Linked DNA regions of Struthio camelus. The protein of the gene in region 1 interacts with the protein of each later gene in a pairwise test. Links are inferred from orthologs where the notes say so. Each region holds a gene or a part of one and is shown on either strand. Other genes may lie near its edges. The genes, in order: RABAC1, NDRG4, NIF3L1 and DUSP12.

Region 1 (7,427 bases):
GGAATTTGCATGGCGGCGCGGGGTGATGGATGGCGCGTCCCCGCGGAGCCACCCCGGTGCGCGCCGCGCCGTAAACAGGAATCAATCAGGGGGGGCCGCGGGGGGGCTGGGGACACCCTCGGGGAGGGCGGGGGGGGACACCGCGGCCCGGGGGGCGCCTGGCTCGGGGCCGGGGCAGGGGGGGCCTTGGAGTGCTCCTGGGGGTCCTGGGATGCTGGGGGGGGCTTTAGGGTGCTCCTGGGGGGCTTTGGGATGCTCTTTGGGGAGCCTTGAGGTGATTCTGGGGGGGCTTCGGGGTGCTTCTGGCTCAGAGCTGGGTATGGGGGTGTGCTTGGGGTGCTCCTGAGGGTCCCTGGGGTGCTCCTGGGGGGCTTTGGGGTAATGCTGGGGGGGCTTTGGGGTGCTTCTGGCTCAGAGCTGGGTATGGGGGGGGTGCTTGGGGTGCTCCTGGGGGTCTTTAGGGTGCTCCTGGGGGGCTTTGAGGTGCTTCTGGCTCAGAGATAGGTATGGGAGGATGCTTGGGATGCTCCTGAGGGTCCCTGGGGTGCTCCTGGGGGGCTTTGAGGTGCTTCTGGCTCAGAGATAGGTATGGGGGGATGCTTGGAATGCTCCTGGGGGTCCCTGGGGTGCTCCTGGGGGGCTTTGAGGTGCTCCTGGGGGGCCTTGAGGTGATGCTGAGGGGGCTTTGGGGTGCTTCTGGCTCAGAGCTGGGTATGGGGGGGCTTGGGGTGCTCCTAGGGGTCCTTAGGGTGCTCTTGGGGGGCTTTAGAGGTGCATCTGGCTCAGGGTCAGGGCTGGTTATGGGGGGGGGGGCCTTGGGGTGCTCCTGGCTCTGGGTTGAGGTTGGTTTCGGGCGGGCGGGCTGGGGCTGCCCCGTTGCCCCGTGTCCCTACTGACGGCCGCGGGTGGCCCCGAGCTCGGAGCCGGGCCCTGCTCGGGACAGAGCTGCCCTCGTGTGGGAGCGGGGCGCACTGCAGCGGGGCGGCCGGACGCCTGGGCCCACGCGGGCGGTGGGGCCTGTGGGGCGAAGCAGGCCCCCCCCCCCCCCCCGGACGCCTAGGTTCTCCCTCCGACGCCGGGGAGGGGGGCACGCCCCATAAGTGAGGTCACTGCAACCCCCCCACCCCCGGTCACAAATACCCCCAAATGTTCCCAAACCCCGAGCACCCCCACTCTGCCCCCCTGTCTGCCCCAATGCAGCCTGCTCTCTGCCCTATAGCCCCCCATCCCCTTCTGCTCTATAGGCCCCATATCCCTCCTCTGCCCCCAATGCCCCCCCTGCCCCGTAGCCCCCAGCCTTGTCTCTGTCCCCCATGCCCCACAGCTCCCATCCACTCTGCCCCATGGCCCTCTCTGCCCCATTGCCCTGAAATCCTCCCCTGCCCTATGCCCCCCCGCCCCATAGCTTTCAACCCCTCTGCCCCATAGCCCTCCCTGCCCCCCAGCCCTCTCTGCCCCATGCTCCCCTAGGCCCATAGCCCCTTCCCCTCATGTCCCCCTCTGCCCCCCATAGCTGTCTCTACCCCATAACCTCCACCCCTCCACCCCCATAACCCTGCTGCATGCCTGCCCTGCCCCATAGCTCCTAATGCCCCCCATAGCCCGTAATTCCCCCATGCCTCCCCACCCCATAGCTCCCAATGCCCCCCACAGCCCCCCTGCCTCATGCTTCCCATGCCCCATAGCCCTTAATGCCCCCCACAGCCCCCAATGCCCCCCACGCCTCCCCACCCCATAGCCCCCAATGTGTCTCATAGCCCCCTGCCTCATGCTTCCCATGCCCCATAGACCCTAATGCCCCCCACAGACCCCCTCCCCGCGCCTCCCCTGCCCCATGGCCCCCAGTGCCCCCCATTGTCCCCCCCGCCCCATAGCCCGGCGCAGCCCCGGCGCTGCGGGCGGCAGCCGATAAATCTTCATCAGGCGGCGGTGATTAACGGGGGGGCGGCGGGGAGCGGGACCTGCCCATTAGCGCTAATGGGAAGATGGAGAGGGGCTGTCGCCGCCGCCCCCGCGCCCCCCCCGCCGCCCCCGCGCCCCCCTCCCCGCCGCCGCCGCCGCCGCCACTCAGGGGCCGTTTCCGCCCGCTGCCGCCGGGGGGGAGGATGGACGGGGGGGGGCACCGGGGCAGAGCTAGGGGGCAGGAGCGGGGGGATCTGGGGGGCACCAGGGCAGAGCTGGGGGGGCAGGAGGGGGTGACTTGGGGGGAGCAGGAGCAGGGGGATATGGGGGGGGTCTCGAGGAAGAGCGGAGGGATCCGAGGGACAGGAGCAGGGGGCATCGGGGCAGAGCTGGGGGGCAGAAGTGGGGGGACATGGGGGGCAGGAGCGGGGGATAGGGGGGTCTCAAGGCAGAGCTGGGGGGCAGGAGCAGGGAGACCCAAGGGGCACTGGGGCAGAGCTGGGGGGCAGGAGTGGGGGGACATGGGGGGGTCTCAAGGCAGAGCTGGGGGGCAGGAGGGGGGTGACTTGGGGGGAGCAGGAGCAGGGGGATATGGGGGGGGTCTCGAGGCAGAGCGGAGGGATCCGAGGGACAGGAGCAGGGGGCATCGGGGCAGAGCTGGGGGGCAGAAGTGGGGGGACATGGGGGGCAGGAGCGGGGGATAGGGGGGTCTCAAGGCAGAGCTGGGGGGCAGGAGCAGGGGGACCCAAGGGGCACTGGGGCAGAGCTGGGGGACAGGAGTGGGGGGACATGGGGGGGTCTCAAGGCAGAGCTGGGGGGCAGGAGCAGGGGGACCCAAGGGGCACCAGGGCAGAGTTGGGGGGCAGAAGTGGGGTGACTTGGGGGGGCAGGAGCAGGGGGACCTGGGGGCCATCAGGGCAGAGCAGGGGGGCAGAGCTGGGGGGGCAGGACCAAGAGGGCTGAGGGACTCAGAGTGGGGGGCAGCCGGGGGGAATTTGGGGGGGAGGAACTGGGTGGCAAGACTGGGGGGGCTGGATGAGGGAGGAGAGACCTGGGGGGCTCAGAAGGGATGGGGGGTCTGGAGAGAGGGAGGGAGTCTTGGAGGGATGGAGGGAAGGATGAGTGGAGAGACAGGAGAGAGAGAGGTGTAGGCGGGTGGAGAGATGGAGAGGTGGAGGGATGGATGGAGAGATGGAAGGAGGGATGGAGGGGTTGAAGGAGGAAGAGGGAAGGGTGGATGGATGGAGAGACAGAGGGATGGATGGATGCAGGAGTGGATGGAGAGACGGAGGGATGGAGGGGTAGAGGGAGGGGTGGAGGGGCAGCCGGATGGATGGACGAGCGGATAGAGGGGTGGATGGAGGGAGGGGAGGATGGACATGCATGGACAGACAACCAGGGATAGCTGGGCAGAAGGTGGGGCCGGGCTGTGCCCAGGGTCCCACGGATGGACAGACAGTCCATCAGGTGCTGGGGGAGGACAGATGGACAAACAGGCACCGTGGGAGGACAGACTTGTCGCTGGAGGTCCTCAGTGGCTCTGGGGTGCTCCTGGGGACCCAAAGATCCTGTGGAAAGATCTCTTGAGGGGATCCCCAATGTCTCTTGAGGGTATCCTTGAGGTCTCCTATGGTCCTGGGGTTTCTCTGGGGTGTCCCCCATGCCTCTGGGGTGTCCCAGGGGTCACTTGTGGTCCTGAGGGTGGCTTTGAGCAGTCCCTGGGGTCCTCCATGGTCCTGGAGAGTCCCTGGGGGGGGTCCCTGGTGGGTCTAGGGTGTCCTTGAGGTCCTCAGTAGCCCCGGGGGGGGGTCTCCATGGGGGTTAGAGGGTCCCTGGTGCCTCAGGGGAGGTCCTGGGGTCCTCAGTGATCCTGGCAGGCACCTGGAGGTCCACGAGGTCCTCAGTGGTCCCAGGGGTCTCTGGGGTGTCCCTGATGGGTCCCCAATGGCCCTGGGAGTTCCTGGGGGGGTCCCCGATGATTCTGGGGTGTCCTTGAGTCCTCAAGGGACCTGCAGGAACCCTGGGGTGGCCCTAGAGGGTCCCTGAGGTCCCCAGTGGTGCTCGAGGGGCCTCTGGGGGAGGGTCCCAAGGGGTCTTGGTGGCTCTGGAGACTCCTTGGGGTCCCTCATGGTATGGGGGGGTAACCTTGAGGTGTCCCTGGGGTCCCCAAGTGTCCTGTGGGATCCATGGGGGGGGGTTCCCGGGGTCCTCAATGATCCTGGGGGTGTCTATGGGGAGGTCCTGGGAGGGATCCTGGTGGCTCTGGGGCATCCAGTTATCCTGGGGGGGTCCCCCATGGTCTCTGGGGACCCTCCACAACTGCCTGGATCGCGGGGGGATGGGGAGGCCACACCTCCCTCCCCTAAAACACCCCCATCCCCCAAACACCCCCGCCTTGCACCGTGCCCCCCCCCGCAACTGGGAGGAGGGGGAATAAACTACATCTCCCAGAGTGCCCCGCGCGGGGCGCCGCTCTCCCGGCATCCCTTGCGTCCCCCCCCCCCACGACGTCCGCCCGCGCCGCGGCGCCCCCCCGCGCTGCCACGCGGCACCGCGCTTCCGCCCCGCGCCGCGAGCAGGTGAGGGCGGGGGCGGGTCGCCATGGCGACGGCGAGCACTGAGGGGGGCGCCATGGCAACGGGGGAGCCCCGGTGGGGGGGGGGGGTCTGTCCCGGTTCCCGCCCCCCCAGTGATCCGGCCGCAGGCCCCATAACCCGCAACCCCCCCGCCAAAACCTCCCTGCAGCCCCATAGAGACAAGGCCTGAGCCCCCCCCCCCAAACAGCCCCATAGAGTCAAGGCCTGAGCCCCCCCCCCCAAACAGCCCTGCAGCCCCATAGAGACAAGGCCTGAGCGCCCCCCCCCAAACAGCCCCATAGAGTCAAGGCCTGAGCCCCCCCCCCCAAACAGCCCTGCAGCCCCATAGAGACAAGGCCTGAGCGCCCCCCCCCAAACAGCCCCATAGAGTCAAGGCCTGAGCCCCCCCCCCCAAACAGCCCTGCAACCCCATAGAGACAAGGCCTGAGCGCCCCCCCCCAACAGCCCCATAGAGTCAAGGCCTGAGCCCCCCCCCCAAACAGCCCTGCAGCCCCATAGAGACAAGGCCTGAGCCCCCCCCCCCCCAAACAGCTCTGCAGCCCCATAGAGACAAGGCCTGAGCGCCCCCCCCAAACAGCCCCATAGAGACAAGGCCTGAGTGCCCCCCCCCCAAAACAGCCCTGCAGCCCCATAGAGACAAGGCCTGAGCCCCCCCCCAAGCCCCTGCCCCAAATTAGCCCCCTCATGTCTGCAATGGGACATCCACCCCCCGACATGGGGGGGCTGCCACCCCCCCATAACCCCCCATTTCTTCCAGCCCCCCCCCCCGCCAGCACCATGGCGGGGAGCCCCCCCCAGGAGCATCTCTTCAACCCCACGACGGAGGGTGACCCCCTGGCCGGGCTGGGCACCAAGTGAGCATTGGGGTGGGGGGGGGCGGTGCTGGGGGGCACAGGGTGCCATGGGTCAGGGCCTCGGTGGGGCTGTGGCCGCCATGGGGCTGTGGGTGCCGTGGGGCAGGGGGTACGGTGGGCCGTGGCCCCATGGGGCGGAGGGTGCCGTGGGGCAGGGGGTGCCGTGGGGCAGAGGGTGCCGTGGGGCAGGGGGTGCCATGGGCTGTGCCCCCGTGGGGCGGAGGGTGCCGTGGGGCAGGGGGTGCCGTGGGCCGTGGCCCCGTGGGGCAGGGGGTGCCGTGGGCTGTGCCCCCGTGGGGCGGAGGGTGCCGTGGGGCAGGGGGTGCCATGGGGCAGAGGGTGCCGTGGGGCAGGGGGTGCCGTGGGCTGTGCCCCCATGGGGTGGAGGGTGCCATGGGGCAGGGGGTGCCGTGGGCCGTGGCCCCATGGGGCGGAGGGTGCCGTGGGGCAGGGGGTGCCGTGGCCCGTGGCCCGTGGGGTGGAGGGTGCTGTGGGGCAGGGGGTACGGTGCGCCGTGGCCCCATGGGGCGGAGGGTGCCGTGGGGCAGGGGGTGCCGTGGCCCGTGGCCCGTGGGGTGGAGGGTGCCGTGGGGCGGAGGGTGCCGTGGGGCAGGGGGTGCCGTGGGCCGTGGCCCTCTGGGGCAGGGGGTGTCGTGGGCTGTGCCCCCGTGGGGCGGAGGGTGCCGTGGGGCAGGGGGTGCCATGGGGCAGAGGGTGCCATGGGGCAGGGGGTGCCGTGGGCTGTGCCCCCGTGGGGCGGAGGGTGCCGTGGGGCAGGGGGTGCCGTGGGCCGTGGCCCCGTGGGGCAGGGGGTGCCGTGGGCTGTGCCCCCGTGGGGCGGAGGGTGCTGTGGGGCAGGGGGTGCCGTGGGCCGTGGCCCCGTGGGGCGGAGGATGCCGTGGGTCGGGGGGTGCCCCCGTGGGGCGGAGGGTGCCGTGGGGCGGGGGGTGCCCCCATGGGGCGGAGGGTGCCATGGGGCAGGGGGTGCCGTGGGCCGTGGCCCCGTGGGGCAGGGGGTGCCGTGGGCTGTGCCCCCGTGGGGCGGAGGGTGCTGTGGGGCAGGGGGTGCCGTGGGCCGTGGCCCCGTGGGGCGGAGGATGCCGTGGGGCGGGGGGTGCCCCCGTGGGGCGGAGGGTGCCGTGGGGCAGGGGGGGTGCCCCCGTGGGGCAGGGGCCGTGGGGCAGCGCGGCGTCCCGGCCGCAGGCTGGCGCTGCCGGCGGCGGCCCGGCGGTGGCTGGAGGGGCGGCGCGCGGGGCTGCGGCCGTGGGGCGCCTTCCTGGACCAGCGGCGCTTCGGGGCCCCGCGCACCTTCGGGGAGCTCTGCCAGCGCCTGGCCCACAACGGCGAGCGCTTCCAGAGCAACTACCTCTGCGTCTTCCTCGGCCTCATCCTCTACTGCCTGTGAGCCCGGGGCGGGCTGCTGTGGGGCAGGACGGGGGGGTCATGGGGTGGGATTGTGGGGCAGGACGCGGGGGTCATGGGTGGGATTGTGGGGCAGGATGGGGGGGTCATGGGGTGGGATTGTGGGGCAGGACAGCGGGGGTCATGGGGTGAGACTGTGGGGCAGGACAGGGGGTCATGGGGTGGGATTGTGGGGCAGGACAGCAGGGGTCATGGGTGGGATTGTGGGGCAGGACAGCAGGGGTCATGGGTGGGATTGTGGGGCAGGATGGGGGGGTCATGGGGTGGGATTGTGGGGCAGGACAGCAGGGGTCATGGGATGGGATTGTGGGGCAGGACAGCAGGGGTCATGGGTGGGATTGTGGGGCAGGACAGCGGGGGTCATGGGGTGGGATTGTGGGGCAGGATGGGGGGGGTCATGGGGTGGGATTGTGGGGCAGGATGGGGGGGTTCATGGGGGTGGGATTGTGGGGCTGCTGTGGGGCAGGATATAGGGTCATGGGGTGGGATTGTGGGGCTGCTGTGGGGCAGGATGGGGAGTTAAGGCTGGAGGCTGCTATGGGGCAGGATTGGGGGGTTCGGAACAAGGGACTGTGGGGCTGCTTTGGGGCAGGATGAGGGGTCAGTGCTGAGGGTATTGGGGGCAGTTGTGGGGCAGGGGGGACAGGATATG
Region 2 (7,337 bases), on another chromosome or scaffold:
GTTTCCCAGCCAAAAAGACTTAAAATGGAGACTGGGGGAGAAGTAAATAGCACTGGGCCCTCCCATCGGCCCCCAATGCAAAAGATAGGGTCTGTGGCTAAGGTGGCAGCTGCTGCCACCCCATTAGTGGCCCTGGGCAATGCTGGTGGGTTCAGAGAGCTTGTAACGGAGCCTGGAGAGGAAAGGGCAACCCAGACACACTGCGAGTGGGAGGGAGGCAGTGAGATCCCGCAGACAGGGCACAGCCAGCCTGGGTGCTGGTTGGGGACCCCTCTCTTGGGTGCCTGGAGCGGGTGGTGGGTGCCCTGGCAGGCCTGAGCCCACTTCTCGAAATGCAGCAGGGGGAGCATGGAAGCACTCCGAAGGGGGAGCCTCATGCACGCGTAGCACTGTGAGATGCAGCATCTGCCACCAAGAGGTTTGGGACATTGAGAGGTCCTGGCTGTGTGGCTTGGGCATCTCTGCAGCCTGGCACCGTGACACACCAGGTGCACCCTAATGCAACCATGGGGCACGAGCGATCCTGTCCCATGCCGAGGCAACATAGCTGGGAAAGCATCCTTTCCCCCCACAGCTTGACCTCTGAGAGCAGGCAGCACCCACTGTCTGGGTATGCTCTCACCCCCCACAGACTCGCATCTGCCCCTGCTCTGCCTTCCCAACGCTGTGCCACCATTTCCTGGGCAGAGTAGGAACCACCTCCTCCAAAATCCCAAATCAATCCCAAATAGAGCACGGCACCAGCCACCTTCCATGCTAAGAGGACGTCAAAGCAAGAAACTCTCTGCACCCTCGTAGGCCATTGCAAGCAACAATTTAAGCCTGCAGCTGCATCCCAGGCTCTCACAGTATGTTAGCTTGAGCCCTTGCAAACATCCAGCCCTGTGCCTGCATCCTGCAAGGATAGGCTCTAACTGGGTGCCAGAAAAGGAAGAAAAACTTCCTTCCAAAGGGGAAAGGAAACGGCTCCCAGCGGGAGGGGGAGAAGGGCCGAGCAGAGACATAGGAGCTGCACGCAGGACCCCACTGTGCCCAGCGACACACAGACCCCCAGACAGGGCCACTGCAGCTGTCCCTGCGGGCTGTGCTGTGGCATCAGCCCACCGGTGCTCTGCCCTGACATGGTCCTGGCATCGCACACGCAGATGTGAGTGGAAATGGCCACGCTGGCTCCCCCTCCCCAGGGAGCTGCAGCCGAGCGGTGCCTACTGGAGTAGAAGCGGCTTACGGCAGGGAAATGCATTACTGTTATTAACATTATTATTAATAACAGCACACACAGCCAGCTGCGAAAGCACGTGTGGGGAAGTCAGCTGTGGCACTTCAGGGCGCCCAGCTCTGCTGGCCTCAACTCCCACGGCTGCCTCTCACTTACCAGGGCTGCGACTATCAGCAACAGCCCCGTGCAAGCGGCACAGGGAGGAAAGGACCTCGGCGAGCATCGGTGAGAGCTCAGGGCATTTTACAACTGCGATGAGATGCCAGGGAGCCCAAGGGTTGCGCTGGCAGAGACGTGAGACCCCACTAGGCTGGGAGATGAGGCCATGTCGATGCAGGGGGGGAAGCCAAAGGCGATGCTGGGCCTGGCGCTTTCGGGGCTCTGTGTGAAGATGCCGGCTGTCTCGGCAGTGGCTGTTGCTACGAGCAACCTCCTCCCCAGCCCTGCTCCTCAGGGCACCAGGAAGGAAACAACACAGCAGCTAGACACCCCAGGGAGGCTCGCGAACAGCAGCAGATGCTGCCTGGCCCCACGCGGGCCGGAGGCTGCACCGAAGGGATGCTCAGCGGCCCCATGCACACCCAGCACCCTCCCCCAACATGCCATGCTGGCTGCCCAGCAGAAAGACCCCAGCCCGCGGGACCCCCGGCACCAGGAGGCTGGTGACACAGTCCCAGCCTGGTCCCTGCCATTGGCAGCCACCAAGCCGGGCTTCCCCAGCTGCAGCCCTCCTCCTCGCCAGCCTTCCCCCAAAACATCCTCCCTCCAAACAGCCTTCTCATGGTGGGGAGAGGCAGGTGGGGGTCCCTGCAGTCCCAGCTCGCTGGCAGGGATCAAAGGACTCTTTGCACCCCGGGCATCGCGACCCCCCCCATCTTGCTTACGCCAGAGTTAATCTCTCCCCAGCCCACGAGGCTCCTCCTCAGCTTGGGGGCAAAGCCCAGCACCCCGCAGCCCTGGGCACCCAGCTCCTGGAGCACCTGACCACCGTGTCGTGCCGTCCGCCGGAGCAGGCCACTGCATGTCCATCTGGCACAGCGGGTGCGCACGGCCCCCGAGACAGCGCTCCAGAGCCCCCCAGGACAGCGAGGGGGAGGAGGAGACGGTGTAAGTTACCTGCGTCACTCAGGGCACATCTGCGGCCTCCCGGAGGGACGGCCGCTGGCCCCCGTGACCCCCGTGGCCCCCGACATCATGCAGGCCCCCGAGGCGAGCGGCGGCAGGGGGACCCGCTCACAGCAGGTGCTGTTCAGGGATGGAAAAGCTGCCAGCCGTGATTCAGGGAGGGGACCGCAGCAGACACCCCATGCACGGCCCAGCTCTGGAGGGGAGGAGAGAGGGGAAAAGTGGCGGCAGCAAAGCGGAGCCACAGGGCTACCCCAAGAACGGCACGAACCGAAGCAAGAGCGTGACCCCCAACACAGCTCAAAGTGAAGCCATAGCACAGCCCCAAAGCCTGCAAAGTCCAGCAAGAGCTCAGCCCCCCCAAACTGCAAAGTGAAGCAATAGCGTGACACCCCCCCCCCCCCCCCCCCATAGCACAGAGCGAAGCAGCCGCTCACCCCCGAGCCTGCGGAGCCGCAGCGGAGCCGCGGCCGCGCCCCGAGGTCCTGCCGGGCTTAAACCCCCGCTGCGGCCGAGCGGCAGGTGGAAGCGGGGCGCAACGCCCGGGCCAAACCGGGGCCGCGCCGTACCTGTCAGCAGCTCTATCTTGTGCCGCAGCACCTTCATGCCGGGGCGGCGGGTCCCGAGGCCGCCGGCGGGCGGGGGGGCGCGGCGGGCCCCGGCGCGGGAGAGCGAGCGGAGCCGGAGCCGGAGCCGGAGCCGGAGCCGGAGCGAGGCGCGCGGGGCGGCGCAGGGGCGAGGCTGGGCACGGTCCCCGCGCCGGGCCGGTTCCTCCCCTCACCGGGCCCGGAGGGAGGGGACGGCGCCGGGAACGGGGCCGGGCCGGGGGGCTCCGGGGGGACAACGGTCCGCGCCGCGCCACGCCCGCCTGGGCCGGGGGGAGCGATTTACCGGAGGATGCCGTGCTGCCGGGGGGAGCACATCGCCCCGCGAGGCACCGGGGGGCTGTGCAACCGGCGGCCCCAGGAGCAAGGGGTCTGGGGCCCCTGAGAGCAAGGATAGCGATGGCCAAGGTGCCTGGAGGTCCCTGGGAGCATAGGACAGTGTTGGTCAATGCACCTGGGGGGGGAGGGGACAAGGGGAACTTGTGCAGCTGGCGCCCCTGGAGCAGGGCCCTGATGCCCAAGGGGCCGAGGGGGGGTCTCATGGAGGGGGACAGTGATGCCTGAGAGGTCTAGGGGGAGACAGGAGTGGAATCTGTGGCTGGGACAGCAGTGGCCCCATACACATGGATGCTGGAAGTCAAGGCGGTGGCAGCTCTTTGGGGTGGAGCAAGAGGTTGCGAGGTAGCTATTTGGGTCAGGCAAAGCCAGGGGCTTGGAACAGTGCCGTGGGCCTGGAGAGCATTGGAAAGGGCCCACAGTGGCAAAGATGCAGGACTCCCTCCTTCTGCACAGGGCACGAAGGCCGTTGCTGCTCCACTCTGCTTGTGCTGGCTGGGCTGTGATCCTGCCCCATTGGGGCCACAAGCTCTGTGGGGCAGCTGGTACATGGAGGTTCACCCACCACCCTTTCCAAGGTGCTCAGCTTTCTAGAAGAGCCAGGGGCTCCCACAATGGCAGGGTATAAAGCAGAGCTGTGTCCTGAATCAGGAGAGCGGGTCCAGCAAAGATGGATGCCCCAACCTGCCCAGAGTGCTCATCCCTGTCATCCTCAGCCGTGAGGAATTGAGCTGGACCAAGCCAGCCAAGCCAAACCTGCCTATTTTCCCTCCTATGTAGCTATTTGGTGAGATTTTAATGTGCTTTTCCACAATTAAGAACATAAGAGCCCCAGGTTACTTGAGCTAACTGTACAGGACATCTCATTCAAAACCCCAAATTGGCCCTCTCTAAAACACTCCCCCCCCCGCAATCACTGAGGATCCTTAAACCTCCCCTCAGTGGTCTCAGTTCCCTATCAAACCCAGCCCCACGCTGGGCTCACATGGGAGGACTCAGGGGTCCTGCTGCAGATTGTTCCATGGGCTTCGGACCATGGACTGACCTGGTGTCCAGGGTAGCACTCGCTCCTATCCCCTATTATACATTTTCCCCAGGAATTTCCAGGTAAAACATTTCATGTCTCCATTACAAATAAGGTGTGCATGAGCCAGGGAATGACCTTGATTTATCCTGGATTTGAGTGCTATTTACTTGTCAGCACAGGAAAGTCAAAGTTTCCTGTAGGATGAGTGAGGTTCAGGTTCTCGTGCACCAGAAGAGGTCCATGTGAGATGTTGCAGGAGGATCATGATTTTGGTGCTGGGACCTTGGAGAGAACCTCTGCCCCAGAGGTCCTGGGGGACTGGCAGGCAGCAGGACCAGGCTGATGCTGGAGAGGGATTTCTTGGTGGTCCCTGTTACTATCAACTAAGGGCCTCTGGAGCAGTGCTAGCATCTTCAGAGGGTCAATGCAGGGGATCATTTCTAGCTTTGTTAGCACCACCTTCAATTGGAGATCTCAGTTTGCCCTCAACCCTAAAGTCCCAGGATGCGGCAGATGCCCAAGGACTGCTTTGGCAACTATATCAAGTCCGGTGTCCTAGACATCAGCCTCATCTCCTCATGGCTGGCCACAGCAGCCAGTGCATCTATTTACTTCATGACACCTTTCAGTTATAGGCATGTCTCCTGGCTGCAGGCAGTGAACAGCTCATCCCACAAGCTCCTGCTAAGGGGCTGGGAAGATACACGCTGCTGATACGGGCACTAATTTCCATTCCTGGTACATCTGTTTTAACAGCTTGTCCTTGGCTTTTTGGACGGCAATCAGTTTTGAGCTGATTTCAGCCTCTCCCATTGAGTCACCCATAGCTCAGCATCCCGGGCTGCATTCACCTTCTCACCTATGAGGCAGAAAAAAACTGGGAGGGAACACAAGGACCATTTAACCCCTCAGCTAGGAGCCAGCCAAGTGCATTGCTCTTGTGGAGGTCAGATCTTCCCTACCTTCAGAGCTGTGTTTCACCCCGTCTCCAAGTCCAACAGCCAAGGGGTTCCTCTGAACCAGTCAGGGTCAGCTTTGGCTTGTCCTCACCCAGTGCAAATCTAAACGTACTCCTCCGATTGCCATGGCTTTGTACCAGAATAGATGGTTTTCATACTGAGGATTTATCCTGTCTGCATCAAGTCCAACATTATCCAATAACAGCTTTTAGATGGCTACCTTGTCAAAGGAGCCAACCATGTGGCCGAAATAATTGCACAATTAATTAGGCCTGGGAAGAGCACAAGCTCTCCACGCATTAAGCTGGAGACAGTGGAGCATAAACCCATGTGAGAGTTCAGAAACCACCTGCTGATGCAGAGCAGCTTGCACCCTGAACTGTGTGTTTAAAGGGAAGCGAGTTTTACAGCATGGATTTTTCCACATTGTTTCGCATTGTGCTTTTAATACAGGTCAACGTGGCATTTTCTACATGCATGGCTTTGCACTGTGCTTTTAGCTCAGCCATGCGACACTAAACTAATTGGACAAAGGTCTCGCTCCAGAGACAGCCTAAGGGAGGTCACAGTCCTGAATGAGGGCTCCCCAGACCTGGCAGGGGGTTAGAAGATGCCACTTGTAGACCTGTGACACTCGCCAACATTCACACCCTCATTGCCAGACACTGCCTTGGCACCCACGCTTCCCAGGGTGTTGGTGGTCTGGCAGGGCCCCAAGGAGCCCTTTGCCTGGAGCTGTTGCTGCCAGCCCAAATGCTGAAGTTGGGCTGCAGCTGTTTGAGCAGTATCCTGCAAGCTCCCTGCAGAGTCCAAGCAGCCCAGGGACACCTTGGACTTGCAGCAAGTGGGCTGCAGCGTGCCGGGCATCTGCCTTGGCCGCAGCGGGATGGGAAGCAGGGAGGTGGGAGAAGGTGCCAGATGCTACGAGGTGAGTCAAGCCTCAGTCATAAGACCGACCACGCTCCTTCTACTCATCAGCGTAGGAAAGGTGGCAAGAAACACGGTGTCACTTGCTAGATCCGAGCCTCTGCCCTGCCTCTCCAGGCTGGCAGGTTAGAGCGGAGGGTGCAGCCAGCAGGCAAAGGCAGGGCCATTAACTCTCTCATGCCTGGGTGAGCCTCCATCCTCCTCCCACAGTGAGCAGAGGGGGCCGAGCCAGATGGCATGCAGCAGGAGATGCTATTTTAAGCCCCCCAGTTGTGATCTGGACCCCTCTGCCCTGGCTGCCTGGTGTCTTTTCCAAGGACACACCCTGGCCGACATCATTTCGCAGCCCCCTCCTTCCCCAATGCATCGGTTTACTACACCACAGACAGAGCAGAGTAATTTTCCATGGCCCCGCCAATGCCAGCGAAGGCGCAGGGAGCATGGAAAGGGCTCTCTTCATTGCAAAAGCAGCAGCTCCCGTCTGTCCCATGGCCTGAGTGGCTCTGAGTCATGGCTCTGTAGCAGGCACTTGCTGCCGTGTCCAGAATGGTGCAGACAGCGCTGATCCGAGTGCACGGGCCTGGGTCAGACTTGGAGTGAGCTGCTCTGACCCTGATGTGGGGCTGACAGGGGCTACAGTTTTCCCCTGAAGCCCAGGGGTTTAGTGCAGGAGTGGGGGTGGGGGTTTGTACCATCTACCTGTATCCTTAGACTGCATATTACTGCAAGCCAAAAACATCCACGGGGCTGCCTAAGGATTTCACCGCACTCAGCACAGCCCGGGCTCTTGCAGGATTTGTCAGTAGGGAAACTGAGGCATGGAGCGCCTGGGCCCAGGAACGGGCTGCCAGGCTCAAAGCCGCCTTCGCAGATCTCCTTACAGCTGCTCTGCTTTCGGTTTGGCATAGCAGAGTTTGCAGCAGGCAGATTCTGCCAGAGCCACCGGAAATGAAGCAAAACCCCAGCAACTGCTCAAATATCTCCTGGCACTGCTGCTCCCAGAAGGGCCCAGCTTCTTCCCCAAGAGTCACCATGCTCAAATAAACCTGATTTGAGAGCAATGGGCTGCCTTTCTAGCTGAGATCCTTAGCACCTGAGCTGCCTAAGCCCCTATCAATGGGTGCCTGGAGCAGAGAGGC
Region 3 (8,000 bases), on another chromosome or scaffold:
TAATAACATCGCTTCGCTGTGCGCTTACGCTTTATTTCACAATTACAAAACGGGTATTTAATCTAGCGCAACACAACATTGATCATTCTCCAGCCTGTAACGAAAATGTATGTGAAAACATAGCTGCATATTGACAGCACAGAAATACCTTCAGATATTCACTGAATTCATCTTCAAACTTCCTGCCCCAGATGCTGTTACCTCCTTTCCCAGTGCCTGATAAAGAAGTACTACAATAGATTATTGGATTCTCAGACTGAAAAAATTCAGAAATGATGCATCATTCGAACACATTACAACAAACACACTAGAAACACTATAAACTGCTTGAGGCAGGGCTCAGGTTCTCATGTCTCGATACTGAGCAGAGCACCAACTCAATAATATAAACAATGACTATTAAGTAGCAGAACAAAAAACAGATATCCTCAAATTCAATTCAATACGAGTGCAAATAGACACACAGGCGAATCTGACTTTCTCCTAAATAGTTGACACTGTCTATTCCATTTCCCAAAACGCTAGAGAGAATTTTTAGAGGCAGCGTAGCCTTTTAGGCAGAAACCAGAATAACAACTACTGCCTGTGCAAGCGCTGGTGAGTCAGCAGAACCATCCTATTCAGTGAAGACGGCTGGAAAAATTAAAGTCTGTACAACGCTTTACCACTGCTTGATTGTCTGGAGGTAGGGCAATGGCTGCTCTTCTGTAAACTCAGCAAAGAAAACTAGCTACATCATTAAACCTTCTATCAACAATACAGTAATTCTTATGTTGCATCCCATCTCCGACAGAAGGATTTACCTAATGGATCCCCTGTCTGAACCATGAAGCCCTTTATATTCCGGTGAAATACGCAGCCATTGTAGTAGTTACTAGCACAAAGCGCCAGGAAATTCTAAGGAAATGAAACACAGCACGTTAGCAAACAAGTCAGAAATAATATCCTCTGTAGCCAAAACCACAGCACCGACAAGACTAGCTCTTCTGACTCTGCTTTGCACTGTGAGCATGTCACGGCATTAGTCAACTGCCACAGACTATTGGTGGCTATTAAAAGATACAAATAACCCTCAGGTCTTTCCCTTCCCTTTTCAGGGCTTGCCACAGTTACAAAACAGTACCGAATCCAGTAAGTATGGTCTATACGTTACATTAAAATCAACAAAGCAACACAGATGCTGCCTACGTAGAGCATCACAGAGAAAATGCATCTGATGGGGGCTTCATAAATATTCTCCTTCAGCTCAGTGCAGGAACATGTATCTTTTTTAAAGGACCTCATACCTCAGATAGCTGAGGAACCACTATTTGCATACGGACAAGAATTGTTCACCGTTTCGCAAGGAAAAAGTCCTTCAAGATACACTATTTCACTGAAATGTAAATGTGGGCTGCCCAGAACGTAAGATGAAAGTGTTGCAGCTGAAACCAGGAAGATCCTAAGATTTTAAAATTTAAAAATTTTCAACTAGAACAGTACTTATTCCTGGCTTAAGCAAACATTAAAACTACAGAATTACAAAATAAAGCAAAAAGTTCATTTAAAAGCTACTTTGAGGTCATAACCCTTAAAACTACCATTAAAACATCATGTGTGGCATTTACAACCAAAACAGACATGGCTGTAAATAACACCATGAGAAAAGTCTTTTACAATATGCAGTTTCAAGACATCGCAGTTTGTGTTTAGAGCTCCTGTTTTCTTGGTTTCCCACAGACTCAAGTTTCCTACTGTCCTGGCTAAGGACAGGTTAAAGAATCAGTACTCTGAGAATCCTCTCTTCGCACACGATAGTCATTCTCAAATCATGGTTAAGACACAGTTCCTTTGACACAGTCACAGATGCAAAGGATTTTAAACAAAGCTTACAGCACAAGGTCCTCTGAGTTAAGGAACAAACACAGGGATTCTTGAGACATGCTCAGAGGCATCCCTTGCATTCAATATTTTTATTTTTTTTTTAAACTGTACCGTAACTTTGCAATCCATAGCCAAGCCTGAGCACAGTTAGTTAAAAATTACTTTCAATTTAAGCTTAAGTTTATTGCACAAAGGAAAACTGGGGTCTCTGACAAACTGTGAGCGCTTCTCACTTCTTTTTAAAAAGTAAAGTTTTATATGAGTATGGGCAAACCCAGGGAAGTTTGGGAATCCCAGGCAAAGTCCCACGTTTCCCCTTAAGGGCAAAGGACACTTTGGGAGATGCTATAACTCGGAGAGAAGTGGCCCTTAGCTAAACCTCAGCTGGAAAGAAACAGACAGCAAAGCTCTAGACAGTACAACACAGTACACAACAAGTTCCACAAGCTGAACCAGGCACTGCACCAGCTTAGAATGTCAATATTCCATTATATAAAACAATGAATTGGAACACTCATTTCACCTTCTCTATGATCTTCACTACTTCTACTGCTTTCTTTCAATACTACACAATCCCGCTCCTGTTACGTGACTTACTTCGCAAGTTTTCGGTGTTCGCTCACAGAATAATTCTATTTTAATATCTCCTACGTCAGTGTGCAGCGTGACAGCCTGAACAAGAGGCAGAAAATAATAATTAAACCACCAATGAAATACAAACAGCTGTACACTCTCTTTTATTTCCCGGTCCTACCAAGAGTGCAAGCAACTTCCCACTGCATATAATCATTGTTTCAATACCTGGTCCTAAGCAAGGCTACCGTCACAGACCATCTACGTTTCCAGTGAAACCATCAGAGAGCACTGGATTCAGTAGTTTCAGGACAAATCACGTTCTCCACGGTAATGGAGCTCAGATGCATGCTGCTACTCTCCAAAGATATGTTATTTATCTGCATAAAGTCACAGGTAAACTGAACCTACTCAGTCACACGTTTGCACAAGTTGAAGAACTGAGTTTATTTCTGTTTCGTGAGATGAAAGCGTGCTGCACGTACCTCACTGGTTTACAGCCAGAGGAACAAGTGCTGTGCATCACTAGACTGCAGCCTTTTGAGTGATATCAGGATAGTTCTGAATGGCACCGTAAATAATCTGCCCTCACAAACGAGTATGTCCGCAAAATTATGCACTTCTCTTCAGAGTTTATAAATAGCCTTATTAAATTTTAAGAGGCCAGTGACCCAGCCATCAATGCAGATGTCTTTCTATGGGCCCCAAAACCTCACAGTACTCCCAAAGAAAGTGCTAAACTATGCAAAGATGATTTACTGTGGGGATATACTGGGGATATATGCACAAAAAGACTAATAAGAATCAGCATCGTGTTGATGCCGGCATACTGTTACATACATACATACATATATATATATATATATACACACACACATACACACACACACACGTGTGGGTGTTTTTATATTCATATGTTAAATAATATCACATATCATATGCATAGCAAGTAATATATAACACAGATAATGCAAATACATTTAAAAACTTGGTATACAAGTAAAGAAGAAAAGATAGTTGCTTGCAATGTCCATGAAGATACTATAAAAGTTGTACAACCAGTTTAAGATATAGTCTTATCTTTATTTCTCGACAGATACATTTTCAAAAGCCTACAATTGTAGAAGCTTACGTATATTCAAGCAGAGCTTTGTGCTTGCAACTTGAACAGTGCTTCTGTAGTAGAAGAAATCAAACTAGATGACCAAATATTAGTCAAATTAGGATTAAATCGTAATGTCTTAGAAGTCTAATTGTATATTTAGATTGACGGAACAATAACACTGACATATTCTCCTTTTCACAGTATTTTGTGTAAAGTCTGAAATGGAAAGCAGAGCTTTTCATCACAAATTCTTCACAACGTCAAAGTAAAACGCATAATCACTTGGCACGCAGAGCAGCTATGCACTTTTCAAAGTATCACGATTTAAGAAAATCAGAAAGAATATAAAAAGTGATACTGATCTCACCATGTCTGCTCATCAAAAAGCTGAGGTAATTTGTATATAGCAAGTTCCTGCAAAGAAAACATATGCAATTTGTTGGGTTTTTTCCCACCAGTCCCCAGTTCTTTCTGATTCTAAAATATTTGTGTGGTTACTGAAATGATCAGCTTTTCCACAGTACACTTTTACAGGGTCACTCAAGTCACGCTGTGTGGCTCAACATTTTACTTACATTATGTAACTAACCAGCACATAAAGAACTAGAAAAGAGTAGAAAAAAACAGTTCAGAGAAAGAGCAGGGACAAAAAATAGCCTTTCGTAAGAGCTGATACTAAACAATCACAACTTTTTCAGGGATTAGGCTTATATGCATCACAAAGGTTAACAGATTAAAAAAAAACCAAACGCATGCCAGTACCTGCACAGAAGTTTAATCTGGAGCCACCTTCTGGTGGCTGTCAGCGCCTGCGACGAACAGGTACCTGCATCCAAGCACAGGAGCAAACATTTTTTAAGCTATTCACATTTTTAAATAAGACGTTTCGAATTGTGACGATAAAGTCACCGCGAGGGAGCCCAGCGGCCGCTAGCGTGGCCGAGCCAGGGCTCACTTTCGCCTGGCCACATGGGGGCCTCGTACAAACCTAGCGCTGCCCAGGGCCGCTTTCTCCAAAACCCCGAGCCCACGCCGCCGCCCTCGCCGCCGCCGGGGAGAGACCGCCCCGCTCAGCGCAGGCGCGGCGACCGCGCGGGACGGGGGCGTTAACGGTCGGGGGGTGTGGGGGGGCGTTAACGGTCGCGGCCCGCCCGGAGATGGCGGTAGCGCGGCGGCCGCTGCTCCCCGCTGCCTTGGTGCCGTCGCCCAGCGCGAGAGGCAGGCGCTCCTCGCGGCGGTGGCCGCGGCTCGTTTTTCGCGCGTGGAAACCGATGAGGCTGTAACACTTTCGGTACCGTTTCGCAGTACTCTGCTAGGTAGTTTCCGAGGTTTCGCCGGAAGGGCCCTCCGCAGCGGCGGTCAGCCCGCATGCTCAGAGGCTGCTGTTTCAGCTGAGGAATTACCCAGTCTTCTTCCCTTTGCCTTTTCCCCGCCCCTCCGCAGGTCGCCGCATGCTGCCGCCTTGCAGGCGGCTCCTTTGCCGTGGCATCAGGCCCCTGGGCCGCTGGCCTTCCCGCTCCGCCATGAATCTCGGGGAGCTCGTGTCCGCCCTCAACGACTTCGCTTCCCTCTCTCTAGCCGAAAGCTGGGACAACGTGGGGCTGCTGGTGGAACCGAGCCCTCCCCACGCTGTCAACACCCTTTTCCTAACTAACGACCTCACGGAGGGGGTGATGGAGGAGGCAGTGCAGAAGAAGGCAGATCTCATCCTTTCTTACCACCCTCCCATATTCACGCCACTCAAGCGAGTAACGTGGAAGACCTGGAAGGAGCGGCTGGTGGTCCGCGCTCTGGAGCACAGAATCGGGATTTACTCCCCGCACACCGCGTACGACGCCATACCTCATGGAGTCAATAACTGGCTAACAAAGGGACTTGGTGAGGTTAAATATTTTTCCAGTACTTCTAAGTACGCTAAGCTTATTTTAGAGAATTTATCTTGGTGAGATGTACCAGGTACAAATACCTGTGGACATTTTCAGATGCATGCTTGCGCTACTGGATGTAGTTAGAGCTGGTGCAGCATGTTTATTGCATACCTTGATTGAAGAGTTTAAACTGCTGACTTTAAATCACTGACACTGATTTATAAAGTGCAAAGTCTAGTAGTTCCCACAGCACTTTAGATAGCTGAAATCCTTTAGATTTTTATTCTGTGTTGTAGCTCATAAATGAAAACAGCTATGTTTTTTCCAGCCTGATTTCCAAACCAGAAACTTAAAATTTTATGTGCATTTTTTAGGGGAGAACTTGAATGGCTTCAAGAAGGTACAAATAATATATATCCATCAAGGTATCTGCACTTAGAATAGACTGTGCCCAATGAAGACAACAGGGCAAGAGGCCCTAGTTCTGGTCATGGAAAATGGATTCAGATGCAAAATTTGCTCAAAGTTGCATCCCTTTTGGATAAGTCACTAAGCATTTTCCATTTGTCACTTCTCCCTCTGTTAAATCAGCATAAGGATACTAATCCAACTTTACAGCGAAGCAAACCTTGTGTGCTGTTTTCTCAGGAGCCTGTACGTCCGTCCCACTGCATCCATCGGCTGCTCCAAGCTATCCAGCGGAGGGCACCCACCGGGTAGAATTCTGCGTAGACAACGGTGAGCATCTAGAGACACTGCTGTCCAAAATCAAAGGCATCCCAGAGATCTCCTCTGTCACTACTCTCCCCGCCAGGTATCTGCTTCACTCTCTAATGTTGTCTTCTTTCTGTTGCTTGAAAGAATACATTGCCAGAACTGTATTTTACCATTGTAGTCATTTTCTTCCTCTGTGTCTTGCTGCTATTCTTTCAGAAAAGATCTAGAAGTTCACAGGATAATTATTCTTTTCTGATCAGTCCATGTGAGGTTATACTAAATGGTAACTAGCAACTCAGTGTAGCATCACATGGACTAGAGATGGTAAGGAAGAGTTGTAACAGGAAATTCAATGAGGACAGTTGAGTTAAATTTCCATATTTGTTTTTTCCATAAGAGTAGGCTAGACTATTACCTTGTCTCCTTTTTCCCTTTCTCTGTGATAGAATGGCTTTATATTCTGTTAACACGATGCTGAAATTTTATCTGTTTTCCTAGCAAGCCCAAAATATATCTTTCCTCAGGGTTGAAGGTGAAGAACAAACACGAGTCAGTTTAAACTGCTCTCAGAAAGCACTGCTGGAGGTGGTGGCATTATTGTCCAAGAACAGCCTTCTTTATCACAAGACTGAGATTTTGTTATTAGAAAAGGTAAAAAAAAAAATGCAGTGAATGTGTTACTTGCGTGAGCTGACTGCCGTAAAGACTGAAATCTAATAGTCATCACAGTTTTCCCATGCTACCTGTCAGTGCTCTGAAATACTGGCCTGTGGGGATTTGAAACCACACACATTTTTCAAAACAGTGAAAATATCTGCGTGACCTGTACTAATTCTTAAAACGATTCCAATAGCTAGCGAAGTTACTTCTTTACATTCTAGAACATCATGTATATGTTTCTTTTGCAAAGTTCAGATGACTTCATTCTTAATACCCAATATGCTCACCTTTCTATAGTTATGAAAAGCAACGTGAGCTTCTGGAGTCAGCTTTCTCAGAGTAATTTTAATTTCTCTTCTCTTCAGCCTCTTCTTCCACATACTGGAATGGGACGTCTGTGCACATTGAGTGAGCCAGTCTCCTTGTTAGCCATAATCGAGCGTATTAAAAGGCACCTAAAATTAACCCACATCCGCCTAGCTGTGGGAATGGGGAAGACACTAGGTAAATAAGCTTGCAAGTTTGACTGGACATTAAAACTAGTGTTCCAGGAATATGAAGAGAGTGAATGCGTGTGTGGGTGTGTGAAATACTGCTGCTTTGAACAGGTTTGCTTCCCAGTAGTATGAAGCACGATTAAAGAGACAGCTTTTTAGAATTTATGTGATACCGTCACACACAAAAATGTTATCTGTACTTCTGGCTACAAGTTCTGCATTATGCTGGTTGTCACTGCGGAGGAAGGGCAGCACAAGCTGAACGTGAGACATCTTTTTTCATAATTTGCCTAATATGACTAAGACTTTTTTCCCCAAGATTTCAGACACAAATGCCTATCACTTTACTCCCTTTTGTGACTGAATGTTAAGATGCAAAGCACCTTAAAATAATAAGATGCTTTATAGTATTCTTACAAACCTGTAGCTATCCATGTTTCATTGAAAGAGGAATAGGAGAAGAGAAGTTAGCTACCCTAGGTCAAACAGTGGGTCAGCAGTAAAACCTGGAGCAGAGGTCCTCTTACTGCAGTTATCTATCCTAATCTCCAAGGAACACAGCTATTAGAATCTGTGAGAGCAAATTTGTTCACACCTTTTTATAAAAATGTCCTCAGGAGAGAGAAATCTTCTTAGAAGCCTCTGATACTACCAATTACATTAAAACAAAAACCTTTATTCTGAAGCTGCTCAGTGTTCTATGGGATTGCAGTAGAG
Region 4 (7,328 bases), on another chromosome or scaffold:
AAATACATAGGATTACACAGCCTACTTTTTTTTTAAACTTAGTCTAAAAGGTCAACAGGCACTGACTCCATTTAGGGCTGCTTCTTAACAAACAAATCCAGTCATTCATGTAGCTTTGGGCTCTGTCCCACAGCGGTATGTTGTTTCTTTTACAGATCTATTTTTAGACAAGTCCCACCTATTAAAACTTGAAATCTAAGCTCATATATGTGAAAAAAATCTACACTTAGGGAACAACAGGATTTTTCAACGTCATTTTACATAATTCATAAAAGACAGTTAAAATGTAGTACTGAACATCTACAACAAGTTTCCTTGAGAGAAGCCCATTTTCAAAACGAAACTAGAAGTTATGGTTTAAGAGCAAGCGACTTCACAGCACCAGGCAGAATTATGCCTGATTATAGAATCTAGCAATTGAGGCTCCACAAGTACTGCACAACTTCAAGGAACAGAAGGCTTTGCGTTTCATAAAACACTTTTGTTTGTCTGATTTCTGTGTCACACACTGTACGGAAACTTACACAAGATCTTATCCCTGTCTTGAAAATAATGACATATCCATTGAGTCACATGTACTATTATTTTTCTCTCAAGACTTTACTCAAAATGACTTTTAATGGGGAATATAAAAGGTTTGGGGAATATAAAAGTACCTGCATTTTCTGCATCTGTAGAGAACCTCCATGTTTGGAGTTTGACACATACTGGTTGGATCAACAGCAAAAACTTCTCGGGGCAAGTCTTGAAGTTCTGCAGAGGGGACAGTATGAAGCTGTGAATCAAACCAATTAACCCATGATCCACTTCAGTGAAACAAGACAGGGCTGTGCTTTTGCCCTAGTCAGACTATGTAAAGACTACCTTCTTTCCGTTTCATTTGTTCATTTACCAATGCCATTAGTTGAATTCTAAAAAAGAGAGTCTCATCTCACTATATCTAAGATCAGGATTCACTTAATGTAAGGAACTGGAATCGAGAATTTGGCCTTGACAATGGTAAAAGAGTTGAATTTTCCTCTATGTTCTTATTTAAACACGGAGCAAAGACATGGGAGGTAGTCAGAACAGTTCTTCCAATCTTTTAGCGCATACAAGAAATAAAACCAACTCTTATGAATGGAACCTGCTAAGAATAAGAGAGAGAGTTCTATTATACTCGGTACATAACAGTGCAAGAGAGACATTCCACTGAGATTAACTTTACGGAAAGTTTTTATAACAGAACTACACATACACACTCATATATATATATCCACTGAAGTCAATCTGTTGCATATCAGACTACGAAAGTTCACTTCATACCTTGATTTCAACTTTATGTTATTTTAGCTCTGCTTTTATCTTTTTATTTGATTTCCTTGACTTCTTTTTAGAGGACTTTCAGTTTGCCTGAAAGGCACATAAAAATCGAGAAATACATAAAGTTGACTTTCGCTGTTTCTGCATTTTGATGCAGAGAACAGTTCATTACAGATCTTATTTCTCAGACATGTCTCAATGACTTTTTTCCCCCGATGACTAGCTAGGATTCTTTAGAGTCAACATGGCATGAATGTTAATCTAGCCAACTCAAGGCTCAGCTACTTTGAGAGAAGTACTCAGTCAACAAACCATCATTGAGCTCTGTAAAGAGGCATTCCTCTGCCATGCGCTTCTGTGCTCATTTAAGGACACAGAATTTAAGGGCACGTGCTGGGAACTCCAGCTATGGGAAAATATTCACCAGTTTGCAACCTGTTCGAAAGGACAGCAAGTAGGTTCAGAAACAAATCTTTTTTTTTTTTTTTTTTAAATCAGTGAAACACGGCCCATCATCGTGATCACACGCAGCCCTCATGCAGCACACTGGACACCGGAGGTCTTCCTGAGGTACAACCAGTTAAAAATATCCACGTTCTGCAGCAGAACGAGGAGCAGTACACGGGTTAGTAGCGACAACCCCTGAACACAGCACACGGTTCCCAAGATAATCTGAACTGACTGCACATCAGGAAGATGCCAGCAGGTGCCGGATGCTGCCTATCAGTGCACAGAGCCGTGTGACCCACAGCCCATCAGACCGACCAAAGCCCCTCCGTGCGTGATCCACCTGGCACCACCCATCCCTGGGAGACCCCCAGAAGTCTGTATCCAGTTTCAGGTGTTCACCGAAGCCTAACTTCAGTGACGAGACGCGGCTCGCTGGCGGGCTGCTCCCCAAACCCAGCTCGGCTCAGCCTCGGCTGCTCCCTGGGCACGGGCGGGAGGCGGAGGTACTCACCGGGGTACCTCTCCGTGACCATCTGCAGGCGGTACCGCTTGTAAAGGGCGCTGCTCACGTCCACGGCACAGCCCATGGCCTCGTAGAGCTTCAGCTGCCACTCGAAGCCCGGGTTCACCCTGCGGCCAGGGGAGAGCAGAGGGCAGGTGAGGGCCGGGCAGGGGGCAGAGGCCCCGCGGCCGCTCCCCGCCCCGCGGACGGGGCCCGGGCACCCACTCGACGTCGGGCTTGGCGGCCTTGACGGCGGCGTACGCCTCCTCCCAGCGCAGCCCCTCGCTCTTCATGAGGTAGGCGGTCACCACGGCGGCGCTGCGGCTCACCCCGGCCTGGCTGTAAGGCAAAGCGGGGCTGTGGGCGGCGGCCGCGCCGGAGCGAACCGGACCGGACCGGACCGGAGCGGGCGGCCACCCCCACCCGCCGCCTCTCACCAGCGCACGAGGGCGGCGCCGCCGGCGGCCCGGGCGGCGCCGATGAAGGCGGCGCAGTCGTCGAGGCGGCTCAGCAGGTCGGCGCCGGGCTCGTCCCGCGCCCGCACGTGCAGGGCCCGCACCCCCGGCGGCAGCGCCGCCTCCTCCGCGCCCACCGTCAGCACCGCCACCACCCCCGCCGCCGACAGCGCCTCCGGCGACGAGCACGACTCGGCGCCGCCCACGTACAGCCCCGGCAGCACGGGCACCATCCCGCCGCCCAGCCCCTCGCCCGCTGCCGCCGCCATGATGGCGGGACCGCGGCGACGGAGGAGGACGCCGCCGCTCCCAACATGGCGGCGGGGGCCGGTGCCGCCGCCCCCAACATGGCGGCGGGGCGGGGCCGCGGAGCGGGTGCCGCCGCTCTCAACATGGCGGCGGAGCGGGTGCCGCCGCTCTCAACATGGCGGCGGAGCGGGTGCCGCCGCTCTCAACATGGCGGCGGAGCGGGTGCCGCCGCTCTCAACATGGCGGCGGAGCGGGTGCCGCCGCTCTCAACATGGCGGCGGAGCGGGTGCCGCCGCTCTCAACATGGCGGTGCTGGGAGGCAGCGGGGCGGGTGTCGCCGGCAGGGGCCAGGCGGGAGCCGCGGCGGGGCGAGAGGCCGCGGGCGGCGCTCGGCGCCGTGGCGGGAGGCGAGGGGGCCGCGGGGTGAACGCAGCGAGCTGAGCAAGGGGTCCTTCTTCAGGAAATTAAAAACAAAACAGAACTTTTTTCTTCCCTCTTGCCATCATTTTCATAATAATTTACATGATAAAATTCACAGGTGTGTAAGTGCTGGAGCAGCGCCCTGTGCCCTGTGTTGCTTTGGCTTGTGGAAAAACCTTGGCGTTTCTTTTTGTTCTCTTCAGTGAATGCTCGGCGCGAGGGACATACGTAGAGGCCAGCAAAGGTTCCCCACAGATAGTGTTTTACCCCTTCTGTCCAAGGAGATTTTTGCTTGGAAGGGGATGGGGAAACAGTAAACTTTTTTACATGCGTTTAGCAAGACAAATAAAGAGGCTAGAGAGAGAGAAGCAGTCAACTGGCCGCATAGGCTGGTGCCGGCGACTTCTCCAATGGCATAATGAGACTCACAAATGTTTCTAGCTCTCCTAGTCAGAAAGATCATGAAAGTCTGATGCGTTGCGATCTTTCACATACTCAGAAAACAAATGAAGAAATACTCTTAATAAATCTCCCAATTTGTTATTCTTAAAATCCCTTACTTTTAAATCAGTCGTGTATTTTTGAGGTCCAGGTATAGTGTGTATTGTGTATTTTGCGCTGGCAGTCTTTCGCTTTGGAGATGAGCTACCTATAAAAGTGAGAAAATCCTCCTGGAGAGACTAATGCGTGTTTTTCTAGCAACCGGTCCAGTAACTCCCTGAGGTGGAGGCACTGGGCTGCCCTTGCGGGAAGGCAGGCCTGGAGTCTGCCCGAGGGCGGCCTCCGCTGTGGATCGGAGTATGCCAGGGGACAGGAGGTGAGCGCGGTCACTGCAGGAAAGCACCGCATGTCCAAACCTTTTATTAAGGTTTCTGCCCAAAGCGTGGTAACGAATGGAGGCTGAGAGGAGCTTTCGTCTGGAAAGCCTGGAGAACCAACGCCCGTTTCCAGATTGCCGTTTGTGAATTGCTGGCCTAGAGATTAATACAAAACAGTAGGGCTTTCAGGATCCATCGTTTACTGTGTGGATACCTGACTGGTCTGTAGGAGAGCTCTTTATCTGAGCTAAGTTTTTCTGCAGGAAATCAACCACCCAGAAAATCTGCTGGGAAATGAAATCAGCTCGCTTCTAAGGTCTGTTACATGACCACATCCACATAGGTGGAGGGAAAGCTAACATGCAGAATAAAGCTAACAGCAGTTAGCTTTAACTCCTTCTAGATTGAGGCCTCCCATTCTTTAATGTCATAGACTTTACATTCCGATGAACGTTTTGGTCATTCGCGTTAGGGACTGGCTATGCTTCTGGCTGTACTCTGAAACGGAATCCAGCCCCAGTAATTCCTTACTGGCCTTGTCTGCAGCATCCAGATAAGCTCTTGCTGCTGGAAGTCAAATGTATGGCCCAGCTTGAAAACTGTCACGCTCTTCTGTTTTGTACTAGCTCCCATGCAACAGGTAGATGCTGAGTTGCAAAACAGGAATTGTAACTAACTCCAGATTTCTGTGCTAATCTCTTACTGTTAACCAGGCTATGATTTGCATTCGGTACTGAAATCAGATACAGTACAGATAGAGGCAACCTGTCTTCTGGTAACCTTTGATTCTGAGGCGTGTGACACCATTGAAGATTATAGGGTAATGCAGAAATCGTGGTGCAGCCGCTTCCACTGCCCACCATAAAGTTCAGACCTGTCCTGTGGTGGAGACAGAGTGTGTACTCTTTCTCCTGTAGACAAGGATATTCCCCTCTAGCTCTTAGCAGGATGTATGTGCAAAACATTACTGTGCAACACACCCACTGCCTTAACATCTCCTTCTTGTCTCAAAAGACCCAACCCAACACTTTCTCATCAAGGTTCTTTTGGTCTAGTATGATCTCTATCATGTTGTTGCAAGTTTTACCCGGCATAGTCAGAAGGGCCCATATACTGCCTTGCAAGTTTCTGAGCACAGGTAAAACGTCAGATGTCATTTGAAAGAGGTGTGTTGTCCGCAAGGTGGGACAACAAGTAACCTTACCCTGCCTTCCCTGCATGAGATAAGGAGGCCTGAAAGCCCTGGTTATCTACCTCTGGGAGGATTGTTCTAGCAGAGGTCTGCGTGACACAGCTATAGGCAGAACTGTTGTAAAAACAGTCTGAAAGGGCCTCCTTGTGGGAGGCCAGCTGGCCATGGAGGAGGTGAGACTTGCTGTCACCACTGACCTGATAGGGGGAGACTAAAACCTGGTGGGAAGGGAGACTGTTACCCCTTCCAGCAGGAGAGGTGAAAGGGGCTAGAGCACCTGGGCGCAGCCACCACTCCACAGAAGGGACAAGCCAAGCAGAGAGCCTGCAGTGGGTGCTACCTATCTGCTCTTCCAGGACTCCTTCACCAGTGCCAGCAGGGAGCATGCATCCATTGCAAGCCTTGTGCTGGGAGCTAGGCAGCGGTTACCCATGGAGCAGACCGGGAAGGATCTTTAGTTTAGATAGGCCGCGAGGCTTCTGAGTATGTGAGTCCAAAACAGCTTGAAGTTTGCTGTCGCCCTGCTTCATCTCGTGTGCTTCACTGCACTAGCGCTTGTGTGATTGTATGGTGGCCCTGTTAGGGAGCTGATCTAGCTGACAGCAAATCCCTTTTTTTGGCTGGATTAGTTTTCAGCTGGGTCAGCTCCCTGAACTGCCTCACTGCCTCATGTCATGAACCTGACAGAAGGAAAGGGTGTGACTGTGTGTCTGGGAACAGGGTTAGGGGAGTCTCTGACAGCTTTAATTTCCATTGTCTTAAGCTACATAACTGCGTCATCTGTGCAAATCCTCCTTTTCCAGTTACCGTTGCCACCACCTAGAAATAAAGGACCTAACTAACAGGCCTTGAAGGATTCAAACCACTTAGTTTGTCAAAAAGAAGAATGAACAGTGCTTTGTTTACTATATGTAAGTATCTTCACAGAGAGAAAATATCAAGCAATAAAAGCCCCTACAATCTAGCAGGGATACAGGGATAAAATAAAAGCACGCTGAAAAGAAAAATAGGTGGAAATTAAAACCAGCTCAAATTGTGTATTGACCTGTAATTGTAATAATTGCAGTAACCTGTCTTGGGGAAACAATGGTTTATTCATCTCATGAGGGATTTGAATCAAGTCTGCAGACAAATACAAATTATTGAAGGAATCATGAGTTACATGGAGAGCGTATATTATACAGGGAGAATATGAGTACTAAGAGATGGTTAATCATTCTCTGTGAGCTTTAAAATCCGTGAATTTATTGGGGAGGGAAACAGCACCGTCTGTAAATGAAAACAGTGACAGGGAGAAGCAAACGCCAGGGCTCAAAGATGCTGAAGAGATTGCTGGCTGCTTCTTGACGGGGTTGATGCAGTTGTAGTGAGACCACTATGCTCCTCCTGTGCATCGGCTCCCAGAGACTTGGATGATGACAGAATGTGAAAAAGCTGCTATTTCAAAGTGAAAATATGTGGTGGGGAAAGTACAAAATCCGTGGGGCAGAGCCCGTGGGCAGCTCGCCATATAAGTGCTTCACATGACTGAGGCTGTACTCCCTAAGCAACTTCGCTGTTTTTCTGTACTCCCCTTTACTGTGTTTGCCACCTGCAGCTTGAGCATATGGTTACGAATCCTGAGTTTGCTCACAAGTCCCAAAATAGAATATATGTTTTCTCAGTTTGATTTGCAAACCCTAGTTCTCCCCAACCTCCACCTTCCCCCTTCAGCCTTTGTCTTCTCCTGCGTCGCTGAAATTTCTAACGGTTTGTTCTCCCCTGGGTTCCAGGAAACTGTGTGACTAATTAAGTGGTTCGGGCAAGCTCAGGTGCAAGGGAAAACAAGTCAGATGACAGACGGCTGCCCCCTCGCTCCACTAAGTGCATTCCATCTCAGCATGCTTCGCAAGGGAGGGCTGGGGCAGCAGAAATCTCTACAGCTCTAGTTTGTAATGGAA

The links.
Region 2: the proteins of RABAC1 (region 1) and NDRG4 interact in binary tests that used the Homo sapiens proteins (3 or more experiments, as listed by UniProt). The two-hybrid records come from large-scale screens. The link is inferred for Struthio camelus from reciprocal best matches to the Homo sapiens genes RABAC1 and NDRG4.
Region 3: the proteins of RABAC1 (region 1) and NIF3L1 interact in binary tests that used the Homo sapiens proteins (3 or more experiments, as listed by UniProt). The two-hybrid records come from large-scale screens. The link is inferred for Struthio camelus from reciprocal best matches to the Homo sapiens genes RABAC1 and NIF3L1.
Region 4: the proteins of RABAC1 (region 1) and DUSP12 interact in binary tests that used the Homo sapiens proteins (3 or more experiments, as listed by UniProt). The two-hybrid records come from large-scale screens. The link is inferred for Struthio camelus from reciprocal best matches to the Homo sapiens genes RABAC1 and DUSP12.

Annotation. Positions count from the first base shown.
Region 1 is NC_090980.1:287,041-294,467, forward strand, and holds the start of RABAC1 (prenylated Rab acceptor protein 1), read left to right. Parts: upstream 1-4,421; 5' UTR 4,422-4,481; intron 4,482-5,256; 5' UTR 5,257-5,276; coding exon 5,277-5,353; intron 5,354-6,556; coding exon 6,557-6,754; intron 6,755-7,427. UniProt on the Homo sapiens protein: General Rab protein regulator required for vesicle formation from the Golgi complex. May control vesicle docking and fusion by mediating the action of Rab GTPases to the SNARE complexes.
Region 2 is NC_090951.1:30,455,037-30,462,373, reverse strand, and holds the start of NDRG4 (protein NDRG4), read right to left. Parts: upstream 3,017-7,337; 5' UTR 2,951-3,016; coding exon 2,914-2,950; intron 1-2,913. UniProt on the Homo sapiens protein: Contributes to the maintenance of intracerebral BDNF levels within the normal range, which is necessary for the preservation of spatial learning and the resistance to neuronal cell death caused by ischemic stress.
Region 3 is NC_090947.1:10,509,893-10,517,892, reverse strand, and holds the start of NIF3L1 (NIF3-like protein 1), read left to right. Parts: upstream 1-4,992; coding exon 4,993-5,419; intron 5,420-6,057; coding exon 6,058-6,223; intron 6,224-6,650; coding exon 6,651-6,777; intron 6,778-7,151; coding exon 7,152-7,290; intron 7,291-8,000. Other genes in the region: PPIL3 (peptidyl-prolyl cis-trans isomerase-like 3), read right to left, coding at 149-216, 804-897, 2,461-2,535, 3,909-3,911. UniProt on the Homo sapiens protein: May function as a transcriptional corepressor through its interaction with COPS2, negatively regulating the expression of genes involved in neuronal differentiation.
Region 4 is NC_090942.1:92,202,889-92,210,216, reverse strand, and holds the start of DUSP12 (dual specificity protein phosphatase 12), read right to left. Parts: upstream 3,016-7,328; 5' UTR 2,979-3,015; coding exon 2,692-2,978; intron 2,594-2,691; coding exon 2,480-2,593; intron 2,383-2,479; coding exon 2,264-2,382; intron 754-2,263; coding exon 657-753; intron 1-656. UniProt on the Homo sapiens protein: Dual specificity phosphatase; can dephosphorylate both phosphotyrosine and phosphoserine or phosphothreonine residues. Can dephosphorylate glucokinase (in vitro).